Caenorhabditis elegans: one gene and its partner. The protein of the gene in region 1 purifies or fractionates together with the protein of each later gene. This does not show direct contact. Each region holds a gene or a part of one and is shown on either strand. Other genes may lie near its edges.

Region 1 (15,300 bases):
CAATTTTCAATTTGGAAGGTTTTGAAAGAAAAAATCTGAAATATCCTTGACACGACACTTTTTGACATATTTATGGGGTACTTAAATAATAATCCTATCAACATTTGAATGTGAATCAAGTACTTCATGACATTAAACTAATGTCAGGTGAAATCAGAAATTACTGATAAAAACAATGAGTTCAAACAGTCATTTTTATTTTTTGGGTTTTGGGGAATCGGAAACTTTGCACAACTTTTTTAGTTTTTGACATATGAACAAGTTATAAATGATAAAATGTTGAACATTTTGTGTGCAATATTTTGTTAGTTTACGACTTTTTTGTAGGTCTCTTCCAAGACGAGATATAAGCGTTCAAAGTAGGCCCAGAGAGTGAGAGAGTGCGAGGAGACGCAGACGACGAGAGCACTCTCGTCGACTGCGTCTCTGCTCAGAAAACGGTCAATACATTTTTTATACATTTTTTGTACGTTTTGAATAAAAGAAAATGCATAGAAATTCAAAACTATCAGTTTTAAAGAATGTTGCAATCGTAACTAATTTAGAAAAAAACGTTTCTAATGAAAATATCATAACTTTTTTGTTTTGCAATTTATTAAAAATTTGCAAACTAAGAAAATATTCCTCCTATATTTTTACACATTTCGTTAGTTTACAACATTTTTGTATCTCTCTTCCCCGCCGAGATACAAGCGTTCAAAGTTGCGACCGTCAGTGCAGTGAGAGAGTGTGGGAGAAGGGGAGACGCAGAGAAGGAGGGCGCGCTAGCTGTCTGCGTCTCCTCTTCTCTCTACTCTCAAACTTTAAAGCTCTCTATCTCCGCAGCCAATTGAGCTATCAAGAAGATTTTAACTAATAAAATATTCAAAATTTCAAGAGGAATATTTTGGTAGTTGACAACTTTCTTATAAATATACTAATTTTTGAGTTGTCCCAGAATTTCCAAATTTTTTGTAAAAAAACACTTTCTTTACACTATTCTCATTGTCGTTTACACATAAACTTTGAAGCCCTCTATTTCTACAACCAGATGAGCTATCAAAAAGTTTTATTTTTAAAAAAATTTGAGAAAAACTTTAAAAAAGTGATAATTTTGAAATTTTATAAAACTATCTGAAAGTTTTCGGCCAAAGAAACATGGAAACAAAAAAAATCCGTTGTCGTCATGTAAACGCACCCGAAAATGGGCAGAAATTAGTTGGAAAACAATAAAAGGGGGGAAACTGATGATCAATGTAAAACGGAAACGAAGAGACGCAGAATGGGAAAGACAGGTGAGAGAGTGACGGGGTAGGAGAGAGTGGCAGAGAGACAGACAGACGAAATGTTGGAGGAAAGGACTGGTTTTGTAATTTATTAGTGTGGTGAATGGGGTGATAAGAGGGTGTGAACAAGACGCAGGTAGCGAAAGAGAGAGAGTGACGAGAGACTAAAAATTTACTGGGAATAATACAAAGAAAGTGTTTTTCACAAAAAAATTTGGCAATTCTGCAATATCTCAAAAATTATCAGATTTATAGAGCAGCAGCCAACTGCGAAAAGATTCCCCTTAAAATTTCGATCATTTCGTTAGTTGCAAACTTTTTGGTAGCTCAATTGACTGCCGAGATAGAAGGCTTTAAAGTTTGAGAGTAGAGAGGAGGAGACGCAGACAGCCAGCGTGCCCTCCTTCTCTGCGTCTCCTCTCTCCTTTGCTCTCTCGCCCTATTTGGCCATTTAACGTCAAGCCTTCATATCTCCGCGGGGAAAAAAAGATACAAAAAAGTTGTCAACTAACAAAATATGCAGAAATATGTGGTAAATATTTTACTAGTTGAAAAAAATTTGAAATTTTGAAAAATACCAAAGTTATGAGGAATTTAAGAAAAATTTCTCTTTTTATGTGGTAAAAGTCACAGAGGAGCTGTTCGGGTTGCTTAAAAATTTTGTTTTAAAAATTAAATATTTTAGGTTTATGAAAATATGTTAAATATTCAGAAAAGATGTGAAAACGTTGCAAAAAAAATTTTTTTTGGAGTTTTTTTTTGAAAATAAAATTTTTCTATCAACTTCCAGGAGTGCTATCAAATTTTTTATATTTTAGAAAATTTTCGTTGGAATAACACCAGTCTCTGCTGAGTTATGAAATCTACCAAAATTTGCACTTATTTTCGAAAAAATCCTGTAACTAGGAAATGGGCGGAGCCTAATACAATTGTTTAACTGATAAAATGTGTAAAATTTCAAGGTCTTAATTTTATTAGTTAACAACTTTTTTCTAACATTTTTAGTTTCAGAGATAAAAAAGTTTAAAATGTTTTTTAATCCAAAAAAAATTGTTTTCAAAAAAAAACACCTTTTTTTTCAAAAATTTTACTAAATTTTTTTTTTCGCTAATATTATTCAAAATGTCTTATTTTACAAATAAATAACCAAATCCAACACATTTTACAACTAAAAACCCCGTAAAAATGTGTGAAGAATGAGTAAACACGCCTCAAAACTTCTGGGAAAATGCATCGAAGAGGTTTGGGGAGTGGCGAGAGAGTATGGGTAGGCAAGAGAGTGCAGACACACACACACAGATACACAGACAGATGATCATGAACCACGTGGAATTGGATAACGGATAGCTGATAACAATTATCAGGTGATAAGAGGGGTGCTAGGGCACAAGGGGCAAGTCGCTACTCACCGAAACTCGGGTTGCTGGGGTGGAAAATTTTACCCGAATTTAGAATTTATATATTGGTTGAATAAATAAAACAGTTTTCTCCATTATGCATAAAATATCTGCAAAAAAATATTGAAAATTGAAAAAGGTAGAAGGGTTTGAAAATTGGTTCAAAATTGCGGGTACTGTACTTTAGAGGGATTTTTTAGATTTTTATTTGAAAAAAAAACATTTAGTGCAAATTTTGGTAGATTTCATAACTCAGCAGAGACTGGTGTTATTCCAACGAAAATTTTTTTAAATATAAAAAATTTGATAGCACTTCTGGAAGTTGATAGAAAAATTTTATTTTCAAAAAAAAACTCCAAAAAAATTTTTTTTGCAACGTTTTCACATCTTTTCTGAATATTTAACATATTTTCATAAACCTAAAATTTTTAATTTTTAAAACAAAATTTTTAAGCAACCCGAACAGCTCCTCTGTGACTTTTACCACTTAAAAAGGGAAATTTTTCTTAAATTCCTCATAACTTTGGTATTTTTCAAAATTTCAAATTTTTTTCAACTAGAAAAATCAGAGGCACGTGCATGACGACTGTAATTGGTAGCAATATTCTTGTTTAAACCATTGACTAGTGGAAGACCAGATGTAATCAAACAGAAGAAGTGGTTCAAAATGATTAATGATAATTCTGAAAGTTTTTAAAAATTAACTGAAATTCTGAATAATAAAATAAACTCACTCATATTTGATTGAAACAAGCCTCGAATCTGTTATCTTCTACTGAATCCTATGTGCTGTCGAATGGTAAAGAATATGGAGCAATTATTTGAAATATCGATTTATTTTCTGATGACAATTCAAATGATGTTTCGATATTTGGCAATTTACGTGAGATTGACCGTATGGGATTTTTGAAGATTTATATTTTTTGAAGCTAGTTTTTTCCGTTTTGGAATGGAAATTTTAGAAAATTTATCAGCTTCATTGTAAAATTGTTCCACTTCACCCCTCAACAATTACAGATATAAAGCTACTTCCAACCGAAAACATCTAATAAAATTCATTTTTCAAAAAAGTTCATAGTTCACTCCTCCTTGACCTCCTTGACAGACTCATCTTCAATTCCATTCGTTTCAGACTCACTTGATCTATCCTTCCGTGTCTCATCTCGTTTAACTTTTCCATCAATTTTGAACCAAGTGGTGAAGGCTTCCGTCAGGTAATTCATAATTTTTGTGATATCGTCTGGAACGGCAGTTGGGTCGTAGGCCTGAAAATTTGAGATATAGGCTGGGGAGTAGAAAGTTGTGGAAGTGTTGGCAGTGTGTCAATTGGTGCAAGCTTAAGCGACAGCGCGTGATGTGTCGGATGCAAAGTTCCAAAAAGCACAGGCTGGTTAGACCAAACCAGTAATGTGTCCGCTGCTTTTTTAACCACTGATCACTGATCAACGCCAGTTGTGGGGTGACATGGCGCGCCCGTAATGTGCCGGCCACTTTTTTTTTTAACTTCTAGTTAGTAGATCCAATCAAATGCCGGCTGCTCCTGCTTGCCAACCTACAAGGTGTCGGCTGCTCCAAGATAGAAGGAAGGCGACAGTAACTATGGGCCCGTAAAGTGTCGGTTGCAGAGACTCTTGTAGTGTCCGCTGCAAGTCTCTAACTCATAGTGTGGCCAAACTGGTTAGATGTCGGCTGCTGCCCTAAAGCCCCGGGATGTGAGTGTCGACAGTTAAAACTCATGGTATGTCCGCTGCAAGTTTCCAACCCTCAAAGTAAACCAGTTTGGTGTCGGCTGCTTGTCCTATGTGAGCTCTCGCTAGAACCCGCAAAGTGTTCACTGCAAGTTTTCAAAAGCAACCCCGCAAACTGTCTGCTGCTACTTTGCACTGGCCAGCGCCCGACAACATCCGGTCTCCGCCATTCAACCTCACCTCAAACGCATACATAAAAATCCCATAGATCGCAAATCCATACTCAATCGGCTGCATAACCGGACCTTCACAGTGAGATCTCAGAGATTTCAGAACACTTACAAATGTGGTTTTCTTGTTCAACGCGAACATTTGATAGCCAAGATCAATGTCTGAAACGGATTCAACATTTGTAGGCGCGCCTGCCTATTAAAAACCTACAGGCAAAAAATCATACTCCTCGAGATTCCATGCACAATAACCGGGGTTTTGGAACACTTCACATTCTTGATGAGCTTGAGCAAAGTTTTCGAGTTCTCGGGGACGGAGCACATTGACCAGGATTTGTAGAGGTGGTGGGTTACGGTGAACTCTTTCTCTTTTCTGAATTTTTCAAAAAAATATTTGGAAATTTAAAACCTGACTATTTAAACTTACTCGTACTGAACCACAAGTGTCCTTTCTTCCACATCCTCATCCTCTTCCATATCACAGCAACTAATCTTAAAACCTCCGATCTTTACAATCCCATCAGCACTTTCCGGGAAGTACTTGCAGAACATCCGATTCCAGTTCGCATCTTCCTCATTCACCTGTCCCAGCATGACAATATGGGTGACACGTTCCTGACGAACTGCCCACCAGAATTTGAACACTGTGGATGCTTTATCAAGGATCTTGTGTAGAGGAGATTGAGTGAGAATGAGTTGGAGGCCATTTGGACACTTGATTCGGTTGGCATGAAAGAAGTCGGATGTTAAGCGGGATCCGTGGACGTTTAGAGGTACACGGGTTGCCATGACCAGTGGAAGTTCTTCTCTTAATAAGAAATTGGAGTAAAGAAGCTTCAGAGTCGTGTGGTGTAAGGGACCATTAATTAAGACCCAGTAATTAAGACCCCCCGGCTGCTTTTAAAACCAAGTTATGTATCTACGTGACCGTGATGTGTCGGCTGATAAGACCCGTGATATGTACTCGGCAAATTTCACACTCCCGGAGTGTGTGCCAGGAACATGTCCGCTGCTGTTCAAACTTTTCCTAATGTCCCGGCTAGTGTCAGCTGCTTTAAACCCATAGTATGTTCTAGAGAACTTCGCACGGTAGATCCAAGCCAGTACAATGTCAGCTGCTGCCTGCCTACTAACAAAGACCCACGAGGTATCGGCTGCTTGCAAAACGTGCCCGTATTGTGTCGGCTGCTAAAACCCGTGATATGTCCGCTGCAACTTCCACACTTCCATAGTGTGGCCAGGACAAACCAGTAAAATGTCGGATGCTTGATCAAACTCTTCCTAATGTCCCGTGTCAGCTGCTAATTGCGTACTCCCAGAGTGTGTGCCAGCAACCCATGGTATGTCCGCTGCAAATTCCACGCTCGAAGAGCGTGTACCAGTATGGTGTCGGCCGCTTTTCTAATTTCTAGAGAACTACGCATGGTAGATCTATGCCAGTAAAATGTCAGCTGCTTCCTGCCAAACCTACGAGGTGTCGGCTGCTAGTTTTACCAATGTGCGTATCGATGCGCCCGAAATGTGTCAGCTGCTAAAACCCATGGTATGTCTGCTGCAAGTTATACACTCCCAAAGTGTGGACCTGAAAGATGCCGACTGCTTCATTTAAATTTTCATAGAGGCCCCGTGAAGTGTCGGCTGCTAATCTCCCATGGTATTTCTCGTTAGAGCCCCGGAAGGTGTCGGATGCAAGTCTACAAAATCTAAACCGTAAAATGTCGGCTGCCCAGATCTGCACTAACTGGCGCACGCCTTGCAAAGAATATTTCCCATTACCTCTGCTCCAATGAGTGCTTCTTCACGTAATCTGTCATTCCGACGCTCTTGATCTTCTCCGAATCCTTGGCCAACAGTTTCGTGACATATTCCTTCAAAACCTCCGTCGGGCTCTTGCTCGTCAGCTTCTCATCCTTCTCAAACTTTCTGACCTTATTGTAGAAGCCTACGATCATATTCTTTACAAAATCAAGTGGAATTTCTTCTGAAATTTTCTAGTTTTAATTAATAGTTGAGAGAAACTCACGTTTAAAACGCTGGGCTTCCACATCTTGTGGGGAATACGGAATACCTTTCATCATCACTGGATATTCGACTGGCTTCTTCTCCTTATCCTCGTCAGGGTCGCAGAGGGAGAGTAGGATTGCAAAAAGAATGAATGCAATAAGCAGGTAGATCAATCCCAGTACAACATAGGACCAGGGGTAGAATCTGGAAAACAATTAAAATTGAAATTCTGAAATTTCCAAAAAAGTGCAAAAACACAATTTGCCGAAAATTGTCGGCAGTTGCCTTTTTTTCCGGCAAATCGATAATTTGCCGGTTTGCCGAATTGCCGATTTGCCGGAAAATTTTATAGGTTTAAACTTAGGATTAGGCTTATGCTTAGGCTTAGGCTCGGACTTGGGCTCAGGCTTAGGCTTATGCTCTCCTTAGTGAGAGTTAGGTTTAGCCTTGGCGTCAGTGGCGAGCGTTAGCTTTAGGCTTGGGTTTATAGCGTGTTTTTCATTTTTCAAAGGTTAGGCTCAGGCTTAGGCTTAGGCTCGGACTTAGGCTCAGGCTTAGGCTTGGGCTTATCTACTAACCTCACAAAGACATCGGGCCCTTCAGCTCCCTTATGCTTCCGTTTCCTCCAGATCCTTGTAGTCTGGCCCTCCTCGCTTGTTGTCTCTGGTCGCATCGTTGTCGTCTGTTCCTGTGAAACGGGCAAGCTTTTCAATTTTTGAAGGTCAAATGTGATCCCTGACACTTTTGCGGCTGCTTCGAAAAGTTTATAGAATTCTGATAGTTTTTCGGAGTAATGGAATCTCACACTGTTTTCAAATGCTCCAAGATCCTTGAACATTTTTGGCAACTGATCTTCCAAAGCTTTAAGCTCTTCGGTTGATTTTCCATAGCTCTTCACCGAAGCTAACAACTCGTCAAAAGCATCCCTCTCACCCATAACATTCATCATAGATACAATTCCACGTGTCGCTTTCCCAATAACCATTAAATGTTCAGAAATATCACCAAAATCCGATAGATCATATCGCACAAAGACTTTGAAATTTTCAGTGTTGTTGATAAACTCTTGAAGGTTCCTCAAGTTCTCTTGGATTTTTGGTAAGTGCTCTGCCAGTTTTTCCTTGCTCAGATTTGTGCTTTGAAAGTACTTAAGAGCAGTGATAATTGGCTTGATATACTTGAACTCTTTGGTTTCTCTTAAAGCTTTCATGGCGTCGATGAGTTTTTTGAAATCCGATAGAAAAGTATCAAAATTTTTGAAAAAATAAGGAGCCATTTCAATCATGTCACCTATGATGCCGAACTTCAGAGTATCTCTAAGTTTGACAATCATGGAGTTAATTTCTTCAAAATCCAATGAATTCCGCACTTGATCCAAGTCATTTTTCTTTAAAAGCTCCACCATCCTTGCCAACTTATTCTCATTCATCTTAAGTTCATTTGATACTTTCAAGTATTCATCGTGAAATTTGCATAGGAAAGACAACAGCTCAACAGCATATAAATTGATTGTAATGGCGTCGTAATAAACAGTTGTGAAAACATCAAGTTTATTGAAGATATGAGTTTCTTGAATATTTTCCGTAAGAGGAGTTACAAACTTTGATGAAAGAACCATATTTGTCATATTTAATTTGAATATATCACTGACTGCATTATCACTAGATTCATTTAATAATTGAGTTCTCCAATGTAAAACTTATTTAAACCTTTTATAAAATTCAAGCCCTCATCTTTGACTACAGGATGAATAGATTCTTCCGTCAAATCATCATGAATTTTTATTAAATCAATATATCCATTGATTAATCCGACAATATGGGTTGAATATTTGAAATTATCATGTGTCTGCCCAAAAATATTATTCAAATTTTCCGCAACCTCCTTGAAAAGCTTCAAGTTTGCAATAAGTTCTACAATTGCCGGCTCATTTTTAGACGCATTATAGAAAGGTATTGAGGCATACTCTTCAGTTACTTCAACTGATTTTTTTAGAATTGGGAAAAATTTCAAACCGTTTTCAATTTCAGGTCTTTTTGGAAGACCTTCATACATAGACAAATTGAAGGTTGACAATTTTTCGATATCCAAAGCAGTTTCATTTACATTTATCCAGTTATCATGCCCTGCATGAAGAAGTTCCACAAAGTCTGCGAATCCGAACAGAGTCCGAATAAACATGCCCAGTTGGGTCCAGTCAACACCAGAGCTTTCTAAATCTTTCAATTCTTTACGATATCCTTCCAAGCTGTGTAATGTAGCATTCAACCACTCTGCTTTCTCCGCAACAGATACCAGCTTCAACAACCGATCCGCCATAGTAAAATCACTTGCCTTTTGTATTTTATTGATTTTTTCAATGACATTAGTCAGCGAGTCCATTTTGATATCCAAGATTTGAGAAGGCGCAATATCTCCAAAGTTAACAAGCTCCGATATAAGTTGATCAGATGGAATAGTTCCGGAATGCAGACCGTTTTGAAGATAAATTCCATTTGTAATTCGGGATATTGCAATCATTTGTTGGACATATGGATATAGTCTAGCTGAAATTGGTTCAGGTTATTTGTTATATTTTCTGTATTGTTGTCTATTTTTGTTGCATGCAACTAATAGAGGAGATATCGGTTTGTTTTGCACTGAAAAGTCTTGCAACAAAAGGTTTTTTTTTCCAACTTTGCTAGAGCAACTAAGTGTACCTTATCACTGCAGTTATAAATATTGTGCCTCCCCTGACAACGTTGTCACTATCAGAGGTGGGCGGATATTTTTTCGGATATTTTCTAATAATGAATTTATCAATAAGTTTTGATGTAGTTATTCTGGAAGAAATGTATCCAAACCAAAGAGTAACTATTAAGCAACATTTTAATATGATAAAACCTAGAAAAATTCTACAAGTTTTCCTTACCGAGACCTTAAAACTTATTAGCCGAGCAACATCGGATATCGGATAATAGACTTGCATATCGTTTATACAGAAAACTTGTAGAATTTTTCTAGGTTTTATCATATTAAAATGTTGCTTAATAGTTACTCTTTTGTTCGAATACATTTCTTCCAGAATAACTACATCAATACTTATTGATAAATTCATTAATGTTTGTTCATAATAGCACTATCGTAGATTCAACGTGACGCTACTGTAATCCTACAGTTCCAAAACTTAAATGTCTTCATTTTATGCACCTTGGAACTACTTGATCTTTTGTAGCCTTACTGCACAACTACTGTAGTTTAACCGAGATGCACTGAGACATTATGTGAGTTTATGAGGGTTTTTTGTGTTTTTGAGTGAGTTTATGAGAGTTTAGTTGTGAGTTTATGAGACATTTTGAGACATTATGAGACATTATGTACACATTACTTGTTAACAACCTCCACCAGTGTCGGCTGCTCGGCTTACTTACAATCTTTAGCTCGTGGTGATAAGCGGTCATGACTCTCGTTGGCTCCCACAATACCAATAAATATCAGAATATATCCAATTGATTTATAAATAGCTGCTGAAAATAAATATAATCCTGCAAACTTCGAAAAAAAAAACTCACCCATTGCGAAATAGTTATAAACTTGAGCAATGAGGCATTTGCAAATTTGATGAGCAAAATCGAGCACGTAAATTTGAAATTTTTAAATTTTTAAATGTCACGTTTCATTCTTGGCAAGCAGGGGTGGGCGGCAAACAAATTTTTCCGGCAAATCGGCATTTGCCGGAATTGAAAATATTCGGCAAAACGATAAATCGGCAATTTTCCGATTTGCCGGAACTTTTCGGCAAATTGTGGTTTTGCACTTTTTTTTTTTTTGGAAGTTTCAGAATTTCAATTTTAAATGGCAAAATTGAACGCATCCTATAAAGTTTCCAACGTCTATTTTTAAACATAAGCATATTCTATGAAGATATGTAGAAAAAACGGGAAAAATTCAAAAATGCGCAGTTTTAAGTGTTTTCCGTCTTATAAAAAAACCCTTTAAATGTTCCCGGCAAATCGGAAAACCGGTAATTTGCCAATTTGCCGAACGGCAATTGCCGCCCACGCCTGCTATAAAGTAACAGTTCACGAGGAAATAATAGAAGCTTTCGAAGTTTTCAAAGATATAAAAATTATAAAAATTATATAAATCATAATAATTGCAAAACATTATTAAAACTATTGACCAGGGGTGTGCGGCAAATCTCAAAATTTGCCGAGCTCGGCAAATTCGGCAAATTTGCCGTGCTTAACAAACTCGGAAAAATTTGATATTTTTTATGTTTTTTGGAGCACCAAAACTACTGAATTCTTAACACACATCTGGTTTCTGAATAAGTTCCGCGTAGTATGTCTGTTTAAGCATCAAAATAGCTCAATTTTGTGTCATTTTACTAATTTTTTGGCTAAAAAATCAATAGTTTTAGTCAAAATTGTACTGTCAAATTTTTGACGTGTGCGGCAAATTTCGAAATTTGCCGAGCTCGGCAAATTCGGCAAATCTACTTTTTTGAAATTTGCCGTGCTCGGCAAACGGCAAATTCGGCAAATTCGGCAAATTTGCCGAGCTCGGCAAACGGCAAATTCGCCGAGCTCGGCAAACGGCAAATTCGGCAAATTCGGCAAATTTGCCGCACACCCCTGCTATTGGCATTATAACAATTGGTAAACTGAATTGGCAAAAAATAAGTTTGTCCGTCGCTATACACAATTGTCGACCCGAGTGCACACGGTTCGTGTTTATTACAGCTAGCTGGCTAGGTGCACACAGACACACCGACAATATCGATTCATCTCACAGCCATACGCAAGAATAACTCAAGAATAACTAAATGTGCTTTTTTTCTCTGTTAGATGTATATTCACGTCATTTTCGTTTTTTTTTTCAACCTTAATGCCTTTCAAACTATTCAACCAGGGGTAGGGGCAATAAATGATTTTTTTCCGGCAAATCGGCAAATTGCCGGAATTTAAAACTTCCAAAAACCGGCAATTCGGCCAACAGGTAAACTGTCGATTTGCCGACAATTTTTGGCAAATTGAGAAAAAATTTGCCCGATTGAACGATTTGGAAAGTTTTCAGCAAAAATTAGTTTTAGTTCAACTCTCAAACTTTTTCACAATTTTTTCCCTTTTTCTGTCCCTTTCGGCCCTGTTTATGGGATTTTTAACCCAACTTCGGAATTTCCCATGTTTCCAGATTTTTTGTCCTTTTTTCCTTCTTTTTTTTCTGGGTTTTTAGGAATTTGCTGGGAGTTTCTCTTTTTCTCTTTATTCTCACCTCACCCCTGCCCGAAACTTCTCGAAAAAGTTCTGAAAACATTGGACATTTTTTTAATAACTTGAAAATAGTTCCGCCAATTTTTGAAACCGTTTTGGAACTATTAAAATTTCGTGGAAGTTCTGGAATTTGTCCTGAAAAATTCTGGAAATTTTAAAAAATACTTTGGCAAAGATTTCGAATTTTCTGTAAATTTTCTGGAATTTTTCGGAATCTCTCAAAAATTGAACAAATTTTTGAAACTTTTGAAATTTGAATTTTGTAAAATTCAATAAAGTGGTCTAACATAATCCAAGGCTATTGTAAAAACGTTTTGAGAATGATCAATCTTTATTTGCATTACAGGATACTATATGTTTTAGGGTACAATAGGAACATGGGTTTTGCAGATCAAAGCTTTTTGCACGAACTTTTAAAAAATCACACGAGAAGCCCAACTTACAACGTTGGACCGAAATCGCACCGGCCTGCATTCCAAAAACCTCACGACGGCTTCTCGGTAGGGCGTGATGAAGTAGATTTGAACAATAGGGTCAAAAAGGCAGGAACCTGTGCCATTTAGGGTGATAAGGAATTGACGGCCTGAAATAAAGAATTTGACGGCCTGAAAATCAGCAAACTTCCCTTACCAGAAATTTGAATCGCTAGAAACAAGAAAACCATTGGCACATATGTGAGCAATGGAAGGTAAATTTGAAAGTTCAATCCCCGAATCAACTTCCGAAACATGTCCCTAGTAGTCTCCGATGTATTCGGAGACATGTGAGGCGTCAGAAGCTTCATCGCCTGATACTTCCAGTAACTACCAATTATTGGGAAGTACGACATAGCAATAAGTGTAACAATCGCCGACCTGTCAAGGAAGACTTTTTGAGCCTGACTGTACCCTCCGAAATTCAGATAGGGAGTATAATCTAGATCCGGGTGAAGGGTCCGAGTTTCATTGTGAACTGCCAGATGGTCCGGGGAAGGGATGAACTTTATGGCCTGTAAAATTTCTATGCCTTAAAAAAAAGGCTATCAATGCTTACCAAATACACCAGGGGAACTAGGTAATGCCAGAAAAATAGGAGGTTCCTCCGTTTGATCATCTTCGGGTCGAAGGATTTAAGGCATATGGTGCGGTAGTAGAGCGTGTGGAGATTGATCAAACCCATGGTTATTCCACAAGTCTGTAATTTTTCCAATTGATTCTCGAAGTTTCTTCTTATTGCCAGCCCCTTCAATTAAGAAAGATTTTGAAGCACAGGCCGTTTTCTGGCACTTAGAATGGGTACTGCAAGCTGGAAAGCCTGTTGTGAAGCTAGCAGTGCTTTTGCGGAGCACATAAAAATCTCTGCCATTTGGTGGGACTAATGTGACTTCACAAGTTTATTTTGAGTCTAATGGAGGTCTTGAAGTTTAGGCAATCAATAAATTTTTCAGAAAAATCGATTTTTTTTTTGAAATTTCAGACAAAAAATTGATAAAATTGCGTATTTTTTTGGAATTTATGGGAAATTTGGAAAAATTATAGATTTTCAGCATATTTTTCGATTGTTTTGACTAAAAATGCGGATTTCCAGAGAAAATAAAAAAAATTTTTTCGAAAATCTGAGCTTTTTGAGTACAAAAAATAGAAAAAACCAAAAAAACATTTTTTTCAAAAAATACGGAAAATTTTTAGGAAACCCCGATTTTTTTTTTCAAAAAAAAATTTATCGATTTGTTCCACTAAAATTGTCGATTTTTTTCAGTTTTTTGAGGAAATTTGGAAACTTTTCTCATTTTCCTGAATATTCAGACATTTTCGGTCAAAATTCCAAATTTTTCGATTTTTCGGCAAAAAAAATTGACCAAAATTCAATTTTTCCAATTTTTTGGCTAATAAATTGGTTAAAAGCCAAAATTTCCGATTGCTTCTAAACCGCTTATAAAATGTTCTAAAAAGCTGTAAAAATTCTCTAAAAATTCTTAACAAACTCAAATAAAATGCTAAAAAAGCTCTAAGATTGCCTTAAAATGCTATAAAAATGCTTTAAAAATGCTCAATAAATGACCACTTAACGCTCTAAAAATGCTCTAAAAATTCTCCGAAAATGCTTAGTAAATGTTTAAAAACTGCTCTAAAAGTGCTCTAAAAATTTTTTTTTTGCTCAGAAAATTTTCTAAAATTCTTAATAAATACTCAATAAATGATCAATAAATACTCTAAAGACACTCTAAGAATGCTCTGTAATTGCTCAAAAATGCTATGAAAATTCTATAAATATTCTTAATAAATGCTCTAAAAAGGCTCAATAAATGTTCTGACAAGCTCTAAAAAAAGCTTTAAAATGCCATAAAAATAGCTCATAAAATGCTCTGAACATGCTCTAAAAAGCTATAAAAATTCCCTGAAAATTCCTAGTAAATGCTAAATAAATGTTTTTAAAATTCTTTGAAATGCTCAATAAATGATCTAAAAATGCTCTAAAAATGCTCTAAAAATGCTCTAAAATGCTCAATAACTGCTCAGAAAATTCTCTAAAAAGCTCTAAAAAATCTTAAAAATGTCATAAAAATAGCTCAATAAATGCTTTAAAATGCTTAATAAATGCTCTAAACATGCTCTAAAGACACTCTAAGAATGCTTTGTAATTGCTCAAAAATGCTTTAAAAATGCGAAAAAAATTCAATGGATGATCTAAAAATGCTCTAAAAATGCTCGGTGGCTACCACGTGTCGATAGGAAGCTCATGGAGCATTTGCCGGCAGAAATTCCAGCCTATCAAGCTACTCACACTCCAAAGACTATAGCAAGTCGCACAAAACGTCGGCCCAATATATTTATAAAATCCATCACAAAGCAGACCCATTGAATGCTCATTATCGATATTCCTAAATTATTCATCTCAGGTAAAATTAAATTATCTTAAAGGTGGAGTACCGAAATTTAAGACTTTGCTTTTTTGGACCCAAAATGGTCTAAAACTAACAAATTTCGTAATGAGACGCTCAAAAAAAATTTTCAAAAAAAAGTTATGACAGCTCAAAGTTTTTGGAAAAAAATTGTCCATTTTTAGCTAAAATCTCAAATTTTGGCAGCTTTCCGGTAACTTTGAGCGGCCATAATTTTTTTTTTGAAAAATTTCCAGAACGTCTTATTTTGAAATTTGGTAGTTTTGGACCATTTTAGGTCTAAGGTACTCCACATTTCCCCAACCTGGTCTGTGTGGCAAACGCCAAAACAACCGAAATCAGAGTCGCTGTATTCGACGCGTAAAGAAAAAATCTCATAGTTTTCAAAATACTTGTGGTGAACTTGTAGATTAGAATGTACAAGGTGATGAATAGGCATAGGCAGGTTAGGGAGAACATTGGCCAGTAAAAGCGGAAGAAGTATTGAAGGAAATCCATTTGGAAATTGAGAAAAATGGAGATGTCTAGATATTCGAAATATACGGAAGTGTGTAATTTGTGGGTGAGTGAGAATAAAAGG
Region 2 (16,566 bases), on another chromosome or scaffold:
TTCTCTGCCCTCGTTTTAATCGCTCTTAATATTTCAAAATATTATACTCGTGCTTTAAAAATTAATAATTCAAATTCAGAGCAAGATGATGCGCCCACCAATTATCCTGCTCAAGGACGGAACTGAGAACAAGCAGGGAAAGGGTCAGATCATTTCCAACATCAACGCTTGTCAAGTTAGCTTCTAAAATTCTAAAATTTAGTCAAAAATGCCTAAAATGCTGTATTTTTCAGGTTGTCGCCGACAGTATCCGTACCACCTTGGGTCCACGTGGCCTCGACAAGCTCATCGTCGATAGCAAGGGAGCCACGACGATCTCCAACGATGGAGCCACAATTCTGAAGCTTTTGGATATTGTCTTCCCGGCCGCCTCCACAATGGTTGATATCGCTCGTTCTCAAGACGCTGAAGTCGGAGACGGAACCACGTCTGTCGTCGTTTTGGCCGCCGAAATTCTGAAGCAAATGAAGCCATTCATCGAGGACGGTGTCCATCCACAACTTCTCATTCGCGCCATCGGAAAAGCTTGCGAGAAGACGCTGAAGAACTTGGCTGATTTGGAAATCAAAATTAATGGCGAGACGGAGCTCCGTGAGATGCTTGTGAAGTGTGCTGCAACCACGTTGAGCAGCAAGCTCGTCAGTCAAGAACGGCTTTTCTTCGCCAATATGATTGTCGATGCTGTGAACACGTTGGATGCTCATCTTCCATTGAACATGATCGGAATCAAGAAGGTCAACGGAGGAAATTTGCACGTTAGTGAATCGAAAAGTCGTCTATCACGCGGTGTTTTGTCTTTCCACTGAAAATTGCAGATTTTTCAGCTTAAAAATGTTTTTCTCTGCATTTTACTAACAAAGCAGCTTTTTTAAACAGTGAAAATCGAATTTAAAATGACTAAAATGAACTTTTTTCGTCCACTGGTTGAGGAATGGTTAGAAATTGAAAAAATCAACGGGATTTTTCTTATTTTTTAAATATTTTTCCATTAAAAATCGATTTTAAACCATTTTGACCCTAATGTTAAGTCACAAATGGTTTAAAACCGATTTTTAATAGGACAATATTTAGAAAATATGAAAAATCCCGTTGATTTTTTTTTCAATTTAAAATCATTCCTCAACCATTGGACGAAAAATGTTCATTCTAGTCATTTTAAACTCGATTTTCACTGTTTACCAAAAGCTTTGTTAGTAAAATGCAGGAAAAACATTTGTTAAGCTGAAAAATCCGCATATTTTCAGTGGAAAGGCGAAATACCTCTATTTTAATTAATTAATATTTATTTTTAATTTAATTTTAAAAATTTCAGGAATCCCGTCTCATCAAAGGAGTTGCCTTCCAAAAAGCGTTCAGTTATGCTGGCTTCGAAATGCAGCCAAAGAAGTACTCCAATGTCAAAGTGGCTCTTCTTAACATTGAGCTGGAGCTCAAGGCAGAGAAAGAGAACGCTGAGATGCGTCTGACCAACGTTTCCGACTTCCAAGCTGTCGTTGACGCTGAGTGGAATATTCTTTACGATAAGCTTCAGAAGATTCACGATTCCGGCGCCAACGTGGTTCTCTCGAAACTTCCAATCGGAGATGTTGCTACCCAATGGTTCGCCGATCGTGACATGTTCTGTGCTGGACGAATTCCACAGGACGATCTTGATCGCTTGATGTCCGCATGCGGAGGAAGCGTTCTCACCACAGTCTCTCAAATCGACGACTCTGTCCTCGGAAAGTGCGGAAAATTCTACGAGCAACAAGTCGGAAGCGAGCGTTACAACTTCTTCGAGGACTGCTCAAAAGCTCAGGCATGTACGCTTCTTCTTCGCGGTGGAGCCGAGCAGTTCATCGCCGAGACCGAACGATCTCTTCACGACGCTATCATGATTGTTCGTCGTGCCAAGAAGAACGATTCGATCGTCGCCGGAGGAGGTGCCATCGAGATGGAGTTGAGCCGATTGATTCGTGAGCATTCGAAGGGTATTGAGGGCAAGGATCAAGCTTTCTGGATGGCTTATGGACAGGCTTTCGAGGTAGATATTGAAGAAACTGGTGCTAGTATAAATATGCAGAAATGAACGATTTTCGTGATGAGACAGTTCAAAATCTCGAAAAACTGGATTTTTTTGCTAAAATCTTTAATTTCTCCAACTTTTCCGTTTTCCAGTTGCTGGAAATTAAATTTTATTCGATTATCGATCTTTATTGCAGGTTTTTATCGTTTTTCTTCAGTTTTTTGTTGGCTTAGGCAGCCCTCAAGCTGTAAGGCTGCCTATTGACTCTAAATTTGCCTTAAACGAAGAAAAAACGACCAGAATATGCAATTTAATCGCATAAAAGTAAATTTTCAGCCGTTTTGATACGGAAAAGTTGGCAAAATATATGATTTTTGCGAAAACTGACCTTTTTTCAAGATTTTAAACAATTTCTGTTAACTTTCAGACCTATTTTGAGCTTAACTTAAAATGTGCCGAAATGAAGGAATTTTGAAAGTTCAAAATCTTGAAAACCTGGCTATTTTTAGTCAAAACCCCGAAAATTGCAGGTTTTCGTCGTTTTTCTCCCGTTTTTTAGGTTAGTTAAGGCAGATTTCAAGCTGTAAGTAATAAACCAACTAAAACATAACATTTTTTAAAGAAAAAATTCTTTGTATTTTTGAGTCGAAGAAACCAAAAAATCCATTTTTTTCACCAAAAACACCCAAAAAAAAAGCTAATTTCCGAAATTTTTCAGATCATCCCACGCCAGCTTTGCCAAAACGCCGGACTCGATGCTCTCGACGTGCTGAACAAGCTGAGACATCGTCATGCTCAAGGCGAGAAATGGGCCGGAATCGACATCCATCGTGAAGCCGTCGGAGATAATCTTGTCGCATGTGTCTGGGAGCCGAGCATCGTGAAGAGGAACGCCATCACAGCTGCCACCGAAGCCGCGTGCCTCGTTCTTTCGATCGATCAAACGGTGAAGAATGTTCGTACACCATCTGGAGGAGCAATGCCAGGACTTCCCGGGCAATAAGGAGATCAATGTGCCCCTCTGTGCATTCGCTGCTTTCTTTTGCTGTATTCAAATATTCAAATTTTGCGCAATTTTTTTTTAATTTTCTTCATAATTTTTGTTTGTTTTCTATCATTTTCATTAAACCTTTTGTTATGATCCCCCGTCTCTCTCTCTCTCTCAAACGTTCTCATCATAGCTTCTTGCAAAAAACTTTAAATTTTTTCTCAATTTTTCTTTTTCCCACCGATTTATTGTCCACCACCCGCTTGTTTTCTCTACCGCTCCCCGTCGTTTTCGTTTTGAATTTTCTGTTTGAATAAGTGCACTTTGAAAAAATTTTAATTTCAGTATTTCAAAAAAAAAGAACCATTAGAAAGAAGGTCAAACCTTACCGGAAAAAGCAGAAAAAGCGGAGAAGTTAGGTGATGGGGGTGGATACCGGCTTCAAAGTTGGGGGGTGGTGGGTGGGGATTAAGATGCATATAAAATGTCGCAAAAACACCTACTTTTACATATAAATCGGGGAGAAAAGTGAAATTTCTTGAATTTTGAGGAGTCACCACGGATTCAAGATCTATGAGAACGAGATCTCTGAAAATCGAGGCAACAATGCTCCGATTATACGCATCGCGCGCGTTGTTTAGCGTGTTGAGAATTTTTTTTTTGTCCTTTTTTTTGAAAGAAAAATTTCTGGAAAACGATAAACAACGCGCACGACAAGCGTAATATCGGAGCATCGTAAAAATGGTAGATCACAGAATCCCACAGGATCTTGACACCGTGGTGCCTCGAAAAAAGATTAAAGGAACATATAAGTGTGGGTGGCAGTGAGGGATATCGGGGGGTAATTGGTGGAGCTTTTGAGCATTACAAAATTATGAAAAAATTACGAAACAAAAAGTGGTGACAGGATGTCCCACAACGGTGGTTTGATCAACAAAAAAATGCGGGAACTTTTTTCACAGAAATTAATATTTCCTAAATTCCCGCGATTTTCGGAGATCAAAACGACATGGGACATTCTGAAACCCGAGATGAAAGAAATTAGACGCTATTCTTCAACGGCACTTGATCGTTGTGAAGAGCTCGCTCACGATCCGCCACGTTATACTGATCAGCCTTGTACTTGGCACATCGCTGGCACGTGAAGATGACGAGGAAGAGCAGGAGCAGGATGATGAGAATGATCGCAAGTGGCAGCATCCATCCGTAGGAATCTGAAAAATTGATTTTTAGGAAAAAAAAACATTTTTTTTGTGAAAAACAAGAAAAGAAAATCGAGAAATTGTCAATTTTTCAAAAAAAAAAAAATTTTTTTCTAAAATTGTTTAGCTGAAAAAAAAGTTTTTTCCAATATTTTTGCAATTTAAAATTTTTTCAAATGAAAATCGGGAAATTGTCGATTTTCAACAAAAATTTATTTAATTTTTAGGTTTTTTGAAAAAAGTTTCGAATGAATTTTTTTTGCAATTAAAAAAATTAAATTTTTCTTTAATTAAAAAACAAGAAACAAATTGAGAAATTGACAATTTTCAAAAAAATACTTTTTTTCAAATTTTTTAACTGAAATAACGAAAAATTGTTGGCTTTTCAAAATTATTTTTACTTTTTTTTTGAATTTAAATTTTTTTTTCAAATGAAAAACCATAAATCATCAATTTTCCGAAATAAAATTATTTTTTTAAAGGGTATCTGCAAATTGTGCGAAAGTTGGTTTTTGGAGGAACAGTTTTCTTATTTTCGGATTTTTTTTCAGAGTTAGTCGAAAAATCGAAAAACCAGAAAAAAAAACAGAGTATAATTTTCTTCTATCTATAAATAAGAAAACGGGACCAAAAATTGAAGCTATTGTTGAAAAAAAAATTTTTTTTTTTTCTAAAATTTTTATAGCGCCAGTGGAGAAATTGCTTTAAAACACGCCTATGGTACCACAATGGCCAAATATCACGATAAAAAAATTCAAAAAATTTTTCTAAATTTTATAAGGTTTTTTTGAAAATTGGAAAAATCTTAGTTTTCCCCCTAATTCCTATTTGAATTAACGCCAATTGGATTTGTTCGATGGAGCGCGCTTGCACGTTTTTAAATTTATTTATTTTATTTTTTGTTAATTTCCACCGATTTTCAATGTTTTTGGTGTATTTTTGCTTGAATTTTAGAGAAAAAGTCAAAATAATTGCAAATTTTCGATTAAAAAGCACGCCTGCAGGCGTAAATCTATGAAATTAATTAATTCAGGTTTGAAATCGTTTAAAAACGTTACTTTTTTTCATTTTTACGCCTGTAAGCGTGCTTTTTAATCGAAAATTTGCATTTATTTTGACTTTTTCTCTAAAATTCAAGCAAAAATACAACGAAAACATTAAAAATTGGTGGAAAATAACAATAAATAAAATAAATAAATTTAAAAACGTGCAAGCGCGCTCCACCAAACGAATCCAATTGGCGGAAATTCAAAAAAAATTAGGTGAAATTGTGATTTTTCCATTTTTCAAAAAATCATATAAAATCTAGAAATTTTTTTTGAATATTTTAACTATTATATTCGGTCATTGTGACCTCATAGGCGTGTTTTAAAGCAATTTCCCCACTGACCGTAGTCCACCTTTAAATTTAAATTTTTTCTCGAATAATTTTTTCACGGGGTTCTGGCCTTTCTCATTGAATTTTCGCGCTCCATTGGCAATCGCCTGCCGGACAACGCGTGGAAAAGTGTAGTGTACTCCACATGGACTACACAAAATCTCGCGGACTCAAAATGGCCTAGTTCGGCAAACTCTGCCATTTCGATTTATGAGGGAGGCCAGAATTCCGTGTTTTTTTTCGACGGAAAAACGATAAAAGTTTAAATATCTAAAATCGGAAAATCAATTTCTAAAACATTTTTGTCCTATTTCAAAAAAAATCCTTTTTTCTGTATTTTTCGTCCAGCAAAACATCAGAGGGCTCCATCAGTACCTCCGATTCGCAACTCCTGATCGAGTTTCACGGCGAAATGTTGCTCGGGTCCGTCGATTTGCACAGGGAACTGGTTTGTTGCCTCGCAACGGTACACACCGGCGTCCTCTTCTTGGGCTCCTTCGATGCTCAACACGCCGGCCGTGAATTTGACGCGGCCCTCAATCTCCAGCGGGAACTTGTCCTTATACCAGACAATTTGGGGCTCCGGGTAGCCGACGATGGGGCATTGGATACGGGCGGCCGAGTCGAGAGGCGCGTAGACGGCTGGGCCCTGAAAATATTTAGTTTTTTTTTTTGAAATTTTTTGCAGAAATAATTTAAATTCCCGCCCGCGTTTTGACTAATTTTATAGGTTTTTCTTGTTTTTTTTTTAATTTGAAATTTGAATTGGAACATCGCTTGGCAATTTTCCATGCATTTTTCACGAAAAAGTATGAAAAATCTATCTACTTGGAGCGAAATTTGAAAAAAAAAACCTAGAAAATTACCCGGTGGCCGAGATTTCTAGTTTCTAGGCCATTTTTTTTTTCAAAAAATCGAGAATTTTTTGAAAAATTCGTAACTTTAGAGTTTATTCTACTTTTCTATTTCATAAACACCGATTATTTCGAAAATGCGTATTGCACATTATATTTGAAGCGCAAAATATCTCGTAGCGAAAACTACAGTAATCCCTTAAATGACTATTGTAGCGCTTATGTCGATTTACGGGCTCGATTTTTCGAAATTAATTTCGTTTCGAATTGTGAATTGTCAGTTTTCCTTTATTTATATGAAAAAAACCACGGAAAACTGAATATCACCATTCGAAACGAAATTAATTTCGAAAAATCGAGCCCTTAAATCGACACAAACGCCACAGTACTCATTTAAAGGATTACAGTAGTTTTCGCTACGAGATATTTTGCGCGTCAAATATGTTGTGTACGCATTATCAGAATTTTTGTGTTTATGAAATAGAAAAGTGGAATAACCTCTAAAGTTAGGAATTTTTCAAAAATTCTTGATTTTTTGAAAAAATGGTCTAGAAAATAGAAATCTCGGCCACCGGGTAATTTTTTATGTTTTTTTTTCAAATTACGGGCAAAATAAAGTGTTCCTGTAATAACGTTAAGTCATTTTTCGATGTTTTTGGGGTAAATCGAAAAATTTTAGATTTTTCGAATTTCCAAAAATTCGATTGGTTTTTCAAAAACCGAAACATCAAAAAAAAAATTTTCGTTTTTCGATTTTTTGCAATTTTTTTAATTGGCCGTGGAGCGCGTTTCCACGTCGAAATTTGAAAAAAAGTCATTCTTCTGCGCGTCCCGTAAATCGACACAAAATACAGTAAGACTTATTGTTTGCGCGTTGCAAGACCCGAAAATTTGCATTTTCAGACTCACCACCACAGTAAACGGCTCGGATTCCGATTTTTTCAATTCCCACGTCTCATTGTTCTTCACAACTGGATGAGCTGAAAAAAAAAGATTTTAAATTAAAAAAAAAATTTTCCAGAAAAAAAAACCCACAATAAGCGAACATGTTTCCAATGATAATCGAATTGTCGGGCACCTTAATCTCACAACGATATTTTCCCGACGCGTCGGCCTTCGACTGTCCAAAATGCAAATACGCTTTATCGTCGTCAAGTCCAATGTCGGCTCGGAACTGCTTTTGATCGCGAATTCGAACGAATCGAGCCCACGTTGGCTTGTAGTGAATTGTGCCTTCGCGTACTTGACACCTGAAAAACTTGAGACGGCTATTTGGAAACTTTTTTTAAGGTGGGGTACCGAAATCTGGGAAATATTTTTAAATTACTCCAAATTTTCCCTTGATTCCGAATATCTAAGTGAAAAAATTCAAAAAAATTTCCCTGATTTTATATTTGAGCTTGAAATCGCGATTTTCATTTGCATAGCCATGAGAATTTTCAAAGACGCGCCCAAATAAATTATCCTTGGAGCGCATTTGTCCCATTCGATTTTCTCCATATTTTCACTTTTTTTCAGTTTTTCAGCTATTTTCATTCATTTTTGTCGTATTTTATGGGTTTTTTCGAAAAATATATTTTTTCGTGTCAATTGAACATTTTATTAGACCAAAAATGAATGAAAATAGCTGAAACCTGAAAGAAATGAAAATTGATGGAGAAAATCGAATGGGGCAAATGCGCTTCAAGGAGAATTTATTTGGGCGCGTATTTCAAAATTCTTATGGGTACGCAAATGAAATTCACGATTTCAAGCTCAAATATAAAACCAGGGAAATTTTTTTGAATTTTTTCAATTAGATATTCGGAATCAGGGGAAAATTTGGACTCGTTTAAAAATATTTCCCAGATTTCGGTACCCCACCTTCAAATCGAAAGAATACTTTTTTTTTGAAAAAAAAAATATTAAAATTGTTTTTTTTTATTTTTGGAAAAATCGACAAAGTTTTTTTTTCGAGAAGTTCAATTTTTTGAAAGTCGGAAAACGCGTTTTATGTGGAGAATGGCAAAAGTGTTTTTTTTTGAAAAAATAATTTTTTGGAATTACTATTTTTTATGGAAAAAAATATATTTTTCAATCGAAAATCTGGAAACGAAATATTATCGAAAAAATCCAATGCTCAGAAGTGTAAAAAAAATATCTTTTGAACTCGATAACTGCCAAATTTTCAAAATTTCGAAAATTTGTCCCTCCGTGGTACGAACCACAAAACTCCAGTCGTTTTTCGGTTCTCATCAATGTCGGTGGAGAATAGCGATTCTCCGTGAATCACTGTCTGCAGGTTTCCCATCGCAGTGTATTTTTGGCTGGTGGCAGCGTCGCTGGGCGCATCTGAAAATTTTTTAATTAAAATAATTTTTTAAAAATAATTTTCGAATTTTGTCCCAAAAAGACGGTACCCGGTCTCGACACGAAAGTTTTTTATTAAATTCAAGAAAAGGTGTGCGCCTTTAAAAAGTACTGTAATGTTAAACTTTCGTTGCTGTGGGCTTTTTTCTCGATTTTTAATAGTTTCTCGATAAAATTATATATTTTTTATCGAGAAACTATTAAAAATCGAGAAAAGAGCCCACAGCGACGAAAGTTTAACATTACAGTACTCTTTAAAGGCGCACATATTTTTGTATTTAACAATTTTTTGTCGTGTCGAGACCGGGTACCGTAGTTTTGGCGTGAAAAAGTGCGAAATTTCGCGACTGAATAATAATAAATTTTGAAAAAAAAATTTTTTGGAATTACTATTTTTATGGAAAAAAATATATTTTTTTATTCGAAAATCGGGAAACGAAATATTATCGAAAAAATCCAATGCTCATATTAAAGTCTATATATTAATATTAAAGTCTTTAAAAACCAAAATCGTAAATTTTTTCGAAATTTGAAAAAATCTCGTTTTTCAGATATTTCGACAGACCACAGAGCGGCTTTTACTACGTGGCCTAGAAAAATCAAAAACTAGGCCAATGATTTATCTGGGATTTTTGACGTGGGATGTTTCTGAAACTTGACGAGAATGTTCTCGATAGAGGGTTCTATAGTTCCACAATGGCGATTTTTGAGAAAATGTTCCGTATCCATGCTATGAAGGTGGCCGAGATTTCTTATTTTACGGCCACGTAGTAAAAACCGCTCTGTGAGACTTCGATTTTTCGAAGAAAAAAAATCCTTAAAATTTCTGTCATATTTCTTCATTTTAGAAGACATTTATATGTTTTCTTAAGTTTTTTCATCAATATAAACTTGTTTTTTTTTCGATTTTCAGGAAAATCGGAAAATTGTTCGTTTTTTCCCTGAACGAAAAAAATGATCTGGTACCGCTTTTAGGCCCAAAAATCGCAAAATTTCACGTTTGGATAATAATAAAAAGTTGCGCCTAGCTTGTATAACCGTGTGTGTGTGTGTGTGTGACTCAGTGCAAATATACAGAACGTTGTTCTTTTCTTATAGGCTTTTTTTGTGCATTGTGTCCGTCCTCTTATCATATGGCTCACCACCACAAAAAACCACCGCCGCGTGAAAAACAACAAAGTAAAAAGGCTTACACAGTGCTAATATCACTGCCAGTGTCGTGGCGGCAAGTACCGTTGTGCCACACATTCTTGATTGGCTCTTCTGTACGGTGCAGAAGACTAATGACGACGTGGATTCTGAAATAAAAATTATTTGGAAAACGGTGAAATGGTGAAGCAGTGTGAAATGGGGTTTTCATTTCAAAAAATTCAGAAGGAAAAAAAAACCGCGAGAATGAAGAAACCAAAAATTTATGGAAAATAGTCCCTAATGACCGAATATAACTATAAAAAATTCGCGTTTTTCGGCTAAATTTACAGTTTTTTCTCGATTTTTTCTTTTAAATTTGATTTAAAACATCATTTGCCAATATTCGAAACAGAAAAAAAATTTATAAAGAAATATTAAATTGCCGATTTTTTGGCTAATTTTAAAATTTCAGCCGAATTCTGTCGGGTTGTTGAAAATTGTTTCAAATATTGGCAAATGATGTTTTAAATCGAATTTAAAAGAAAAAATCGAGAAAAAACTGTAAATTGGGCCGAAAAAACGCGAATTTTTTATTATTATATATTCGGTCATTAGGGACTATATTCCATCAAATTTAGCCAGAAAACGCGAAAATATCAAAAATGACGTCACTCACTTGCGCGGGAATTCAAATTTAATTCGGTCGTTTCTTTGATTTTTGAAAAATTTAAAATATCCTTATAAGTTTAGAATTTTTTATTCTATTTTTTTACAAGTATATTCGGTCAATAGGGTCTATCAATTAAAGCAAAAAAGACGCGATTTTTTAATTTCCGCTAAATTCCCTCCAAAAAGAGAGAGAGGCAATTTTTTAGGAGAAAAAATTAGAAATATTTTTCTACAGTATGCTTAAAGGCTCACCGGCGTATTCAAAAAGAAACAGGAGAGCGCGCGGCGAGACCCATGTGCCGGAAAGTGTTGTGCGTCTTGAAGGAGTACGGTAAATTATTTTTTCGAAACACAGTTTTTCTATTATTTAATTTCAAAATAAATTTTCATTGAATTTTTTCTTTATAATTTTTAATTTTGAAAATACGTAAAAATTAAATTAAAATCGCTTTTCTTTTAATAAAAAATGAAAAATAATTCAACAAAAAAGAAATCAACAGCAATATTCTCTACTGTTTTTCTCATTTTCTGACTGCCCAAAAACTGATAATTCAGTGATAACGGAGGCTCCTCGATACTAAAAGCGCCAAAAAAAAACGGTGAAAAACGGCGTGGGGACGCAGAGAAATATCAGCGGAGAGCGGGAAGGAAAAAAAAATGGAAAAAGCATACAAACATATATATATATATATACAAAAAGCAAATAGTAACAAGACGGAGAGAAGACAGAAACTGCAAAACTGTGTAGAACTGAACTTGGTGGTTTGAAATGGGAAAAACCCCAAACATTTATTACATAAACGCAAAAATGCTGAGAATACGTTTTGCGCAACATATTTGACGCGCAAAATATCTCGTAGCGAAAACTACAGTAACTATCTAAATGACTACTGTAGCGCTTATGTCGATTTACGGGCTCGCTTTTTGAAAATATTTTTTTTCGAATTTTGACACCGATTTTCCACCGCTTTTTCGTAGTCTTTTATAATTTTTGTGCTTATTTTCAATATTTTATCCATTAATAAATGATTTTAATTGAAAAACGTCAAATATTAGCTTCATTTTGATGAGGAAACGTCTACAAACGTATTTTTAAAATTATTTCCTGTCGGGTTTCATCTGGAAAAAACCTGCAATAGACGGAAAAGAATGTAGAATAATGTTTATAAGAGTTTCCTCATCAAAATGAAGCCAATATTTGTCGTTTTTCAATTAATATCATTTATTAATGGATAAAATATTGAAAATAAGCACAAAAATCTTAAAAGAATACGAAAAAGCGGATGAAAATTGAATATCGGTGTCAAAATTCGAAAAGAAAATATTTTCAAAAAGCGATCCCGTAAATCGACACAAGTGCTACAGTAGTCATTTAAAGAATTACTGTAGTTTTGGCTACGAGATATTTTGCGCGTCACATATGTTGCGCAATACGCATTCTCAGAAGTTTGTGTTCGTGTAATAAGAAGGTAAAATAAATTCTAAAGTCAAGAAAATGTTGACCGGAAATTTTCAATTCCCACAACTTGCTGATTTGCCTATTTGCCGGAAATTTTCAATTCCGGCAATTTGCCGGTTTGCCGATTTCTCGGAGATTTAAATTCCGGCATTTGCCGATTTGCCAGAAAAATCGTTTGCCGCCCACCCCTGTTTGGGGCTATTCTGAGCTTATTCCATCAAAACCAAACCGTTTAACGGCACAAAAATGTCGACGGAAAATCGAACGAAAAAGAGCCGGCCATGCCAAAGAGCCATTTTTCGTGCGAAGAAGCAAGAGTGTGTGGAGAACATAAATTTGAACTGAAATTTGAATTTGAACTTATTGTTCATTTTTAATAAGCCGGCGGCGGGATGGAAGGAATTATTCAAGAAATGGAAGAAAAAAATCTTCCGTGGTCTTTTCTTTTTTTTCCTCAATCCGATTGACATGCGAATTTCTGGCAGAGACAAGAACAATTAGATTCGGCTAAATTGTCTTGTCTTGCTCCAAATTCCTCCCAATTTCCTTTCGAAAATCAAACGCCAGTTTTTTCTTTTATTTTTGGCGGGGTGGTGGCAGCGGCGTGTCAGAAGAGATAAAATCTCACAGAGACAGAAGACGCCTCAAGGTTTTCCATGTAACCATAACAATTTACACATTAGATCTCTCGATAAATTGTATTGTTGTACTACAACAGATACATTTCTCTTCTGATCCGTCAGAGCAGAACTGCTGAGCCTCATGCATTCTCGATGAGGGCACACAAGAGCAAAAAGAGAGCAATTTTCGACAAAAAAAGAGTTATGAAAACTCGATGATTTGCTGTTGTTGACGATGGAAGAGAAAAAAATCTTTAGAAACTATCAAGATTCTCGTAGTTTTTTTTCGAATTCTCACCGTTTTTCGATTTTTTTTTTCAAAAATCGTAAAATCGACACCCTTGCTTCGAAGTCTCCCGTAAATGATGAAAAATCAAAGAGATGAAGCACACACACACAAGCGTGATTAGCGAATCGAGGAACACCACAAAACGGTCCCTTGGGACGGGAAGATGATGCGAAAAACAAGCCAAGCCTCATGTCTGATGAGTTATTTTCTGTATAATTGTAGTAGGACGGGATATGCAGGGAAATGTTGAACGACGCGTTAAAGAAGGAGTATCCTGAATAGGGAAATTGTTTTAAAATGTAGTATTCATGCTCAAACATACGAATATAACAAAAGAAAAACGGGAAAAATCCGTTAACATTGAGCATTTTAAGTCAGAAAAATCGGCGAAAAATCTTTATAATTTGACTAGGAAAATTCTAGGCCAGGAGGATTGTCCGCATTTTAATTCTGTCGTGTATTGTATTTTTAATAAGTACTTAATACAATTCCTTCTTCTCAGTTTTCTTAAACTTTTTGAGAGAGAAAAATTATTTAAAGTTTGAAAAATAACATTTAAATCAATTTTTTGTTGAACGAATATGGCCTAGGAATCAAGTGGCGGCCTAGGATTCATTCACGCGGGAATTTGAAATTAATCCGCTTTCATCCGCTTTTGTCGATTTTAGTGGCGATTTGCTCAATGTTAACGGATTTTTCCCGTTTTTCTGTTGTTATATTCGTAAGTTTGAGCACGAATACTACATTTTAAAACAATTTCCCCATTCAGGATACTCCTTCTTTAAAGGAACACACATTACTTCTAATTGGGTCTTGCCACGCTCTCAACAATAGTGGTCGTCAGGGGTTGTCGCCGAAATTTTTTTTCGATTTTTTTTTGAGCAAAACAGAAAAATTGGAAAACCGTAAATTTTCGTTTTTGGCAAAATCGAAAAATTTTTTTGAAAGCACTTCAAAATCGGTATTTCTCATTCAGAATGTAATATTTGGATTACGGTTTACGGACAACTGCCGTTCGGCAAAACCGGCAAATTGCTGGTTTGCCGGAAATTTTCAATTCCGGCAATTAACTGGTTTGCCGGAAATTTTAATTTTTGGCAATCTACCGATTTTTCGGAAATTTTCAAGTTGGCCAATTTGCCGATTTTCCTGAAATGTTCAAGTCCGCCAATTTGCCGGAAATTTTCATTTTCAGCATTTTTCCGGTTTGCCGGAAATTTTCTAATTCGGCAATATGCCGGTTTGCCAAAAATTTTCAATTCCGGCAATTTGCCGGTTTGCAGGAAATTTTCAATTCCGCCAGTTTGCCGATTTTCCGGAAATTTTCAAGTCCACCAATTTGCCGGATTGCCAATTTGCAGGAAATTTTCTATTCCGGCATTTCGCCGGATTGCAGGAAAATTTCAATTCCGGCAATTCGCCGGTTTGCCGAAAATTTCAATTCTGACAATTTGCCGATTTGCCGGAAATTTCAAATCCGGCAATTTGCCGGTGTGTCGGAAATTAAAAAATTTTTGGTTTTTTTCCAGAAAAACCGGCAGACCTGGGGCTTTTGAAAGCTTCCAGAAAAGTGATGACTTTTTTGGAGATTCACATTCTACCACGGAGATCGTTGCGAGACCAACTCAGATAAACGGCGTGTTCCTTCAAACCGCGGTTGCAGATCTTTCAGAAAAAAAAAACTCGGCCACCAATTTTTTGATGTCACTTCAAATTCTCTAGAAATAGAGGAGTAGGAACACTTGTGAATGGAAAAAAAGGAAAAAAAATCGGTGGCCGAGTTTCTCCGTTCGCGGCCACACGACAGGCGTTCCCAGACTCCTCCGAGCAAGACTAGAAGCGAAAAACAGCAAAACTCTAATCCGGAACAAAAAAGTAGAAAAACAACATCTAGATTGAAAAACGAATAATCTCTTTCCCTGTGATTTCTTCTGATATGCCTTTTTCCCAAAACAAGGGAGTAAAAAGAGCAAATTCGGAGCCGAAAGAGAAAAGCGAGCGACGAAATCGAAACTTTGTTGCAATGTAAAAAGTGCTCCGTGACACCCCCACACACACACACATCATCTCACCCTTACTTGCCATTTTTGAGTTGTTGTGTGCATGTGTGTGTGTGTGTGCACGAAGGGAAAATCCCTGCTCACTGAGTCTCTGGCTGTCGAGCATTTTCCTGTTTTTTCCTTGTTTTTTTTTTTCGTTCTTCTTCGCCTACTTCGCGCCTATTGTAGCGAAAAACAAAGATATCATCTTTCTCTCACTCTGAAAGTGTGAGAAACAACTCAAATGGCCTTGATCTACAAAAAATGCGGGAATTTTTCTCCCAGAAAAATATGACGTCAGCACACTCGTATAGACCCAAAATGGGCTCAAATGAACGAATTTCGTAATGAAACTTCTCAAAAAAAATTTCAAAAAATTTTTATGCCGGTTCAAAATTTCGAAAAAATAACACAGATTTCAGCTAAAATCTCGAATTTTGTTCACTTTTCCGTGTCACATCTGTCTGTAGTTGACTTTTTTGGAATTATCATCCTTTATTGCATATTTTGGAGGGTTTATCTCATTCTATTTCGTTGATAAAGGTACATTTAAATCCAATAGGTAATCAATTTTTATGATTTTTGATTACCTATCGGCTTTAAATGTGCCTTAATCGACGAAATAGAATGAGATAAACCCTCCAAAATATACAATAAAGGATGATAATTCCAAAAAAAGTCAACTTCAGACAGATGTGACACGGAAAAATGGCCAAAATTCGGGATTTTAGCTAAAATCAGTGTAATTTTTTTCGAACGTTTAAACCGGCATGAAAAAATTTTTGAAATTTTTTTTTGAGAAGTTTCATTATGAAATTCGTTCATTTGAGCTCATTTTGGGTCTATACGTTCAAAATCGTTCTAGCCGTTAGTCCTCCTTACGAAATCAGATGATATCTCTGCGTCTCTTCTCCCGCATTTTTTGTAGATCTACGTAGATCAAGCCGAAATGAGACGTATGGCCTAAAAGCCGTGTCTGATCTCAGAGGGTGAACTGAGGGAGAGCGAATGGGCTCCAGGAGCCATTTTTCTGATCTCAGTAGACGAACGAAGAAAGAAAAAAACGAAGTATGTTGGCAAAAGGAACTCGACAGAGATTTTTGCCGTCCTCTTTTTCTTTTTTGAGGCGCCGACAGCAGCAGTGCATTCTAATTTTCTTTTCACTTCTCGATACTTCCTCGAAAACAAAACGCTGGAAAACTTCTCTCGACGACCACAAATGGGCGAGAAAATTGGCGAAATTCAAGCCAAAAAGGGGGAAATCCGAAACTCCTTTTCCCTTTGCCAGGGCAATTTTGTTGGGAGAAAATCGAAAATTGAAAAAGAAAAAAAAATGACGGCGGGCGGGCGGATAGAGAAAGACAGGAAAATGGCAAAGATTGAGCGAGAGTTCCCCCCGGAGAATATTTGGTGCCAAGTGCCAAAAAAGTGTATGAGGATGGAGAAGTTGGGTCACCTAAAATCTCGAGAAATCTTGATTAAAGTTTCAGCCTTGTGAGTGTACTTTTTACGGACTGAGAATTGAATAACGACAACTGAAGGTTTGGGAATTATTTTTTAAAGGTGGAATTGCGCCAGTGGGG

Evidence for each region.
Region 2: the proteins of Y22D7AR.7 (region 1) and zig-11 fractionate together in Caenorhabditis elegans (co-fractionation; one large-scale study listed by BioGRID). This does not show direct contact.

What each region holds. Positions count from the first base shown.
Region 1 is NC_003281.10:1,679,889-1,695,188, forward strand, and holds Y22D7AR.7 (Tyrosine-protein phosphatase domain-containing protein), read right to left. Parts: upstream 8,212-15,300; coding exon 7,163-8,211; intron 7,154-7,162; exon of another isoform or gene 7,102-7,153; intron 6,789-7,101; coding exon 6,604-6,788; intron 6,562-6,603; coding exon 6,357-6,561; intron 5,389-6,356; coding exon 5,008-5,388; intron 4,954-5,007; coding exon 4,808-4,953; intron 4,743-4,807; coding exon 4,591-4,742; intron 3,928-4,590; coding exon 3,742-3,927; downstream 1-3,741. Other genes in the region: Y22D7AR.14 (uncharacterized protein), read right to left, coding at 8,256-9,130, 9,995-10,090, 10,136-10,139; srd-64 (Serpentine Receptor, class D (Delta)), read right to left, coding at 12,253-12,422, 12,470-12,827, 12,872-13,012, 14,603-14,699, 15,025-15,218.
Region 2 is NC_003283.11:1,872,167-1,888,732, forward strand, and holds zig-11 (Ig-like domain-containing protein), read right to left. Parts: upstream 10,075-16,566; 5' UTR 10,025-10,074; coding exon 9,970-10,024; intron 8,759-9,969; coding exon 8,632-8,758; intron 7,678-8,631; coding exon 7,463-7,677; intron 7,408-7,462; coding exon 7,337-7,407; intron 6,223-7,336; coding exon 5,949-6,222; intron 4,208-5,948; coding exon 4,035-4,207; 3' UTR 3,320-4,034; downstream 1-3,319. Other genes in the region: cct-7 (T-complex protein 1 subunit eta), read left to right, coding at 86-175, 234-755, 1,313-2,023, 2,724-3,008.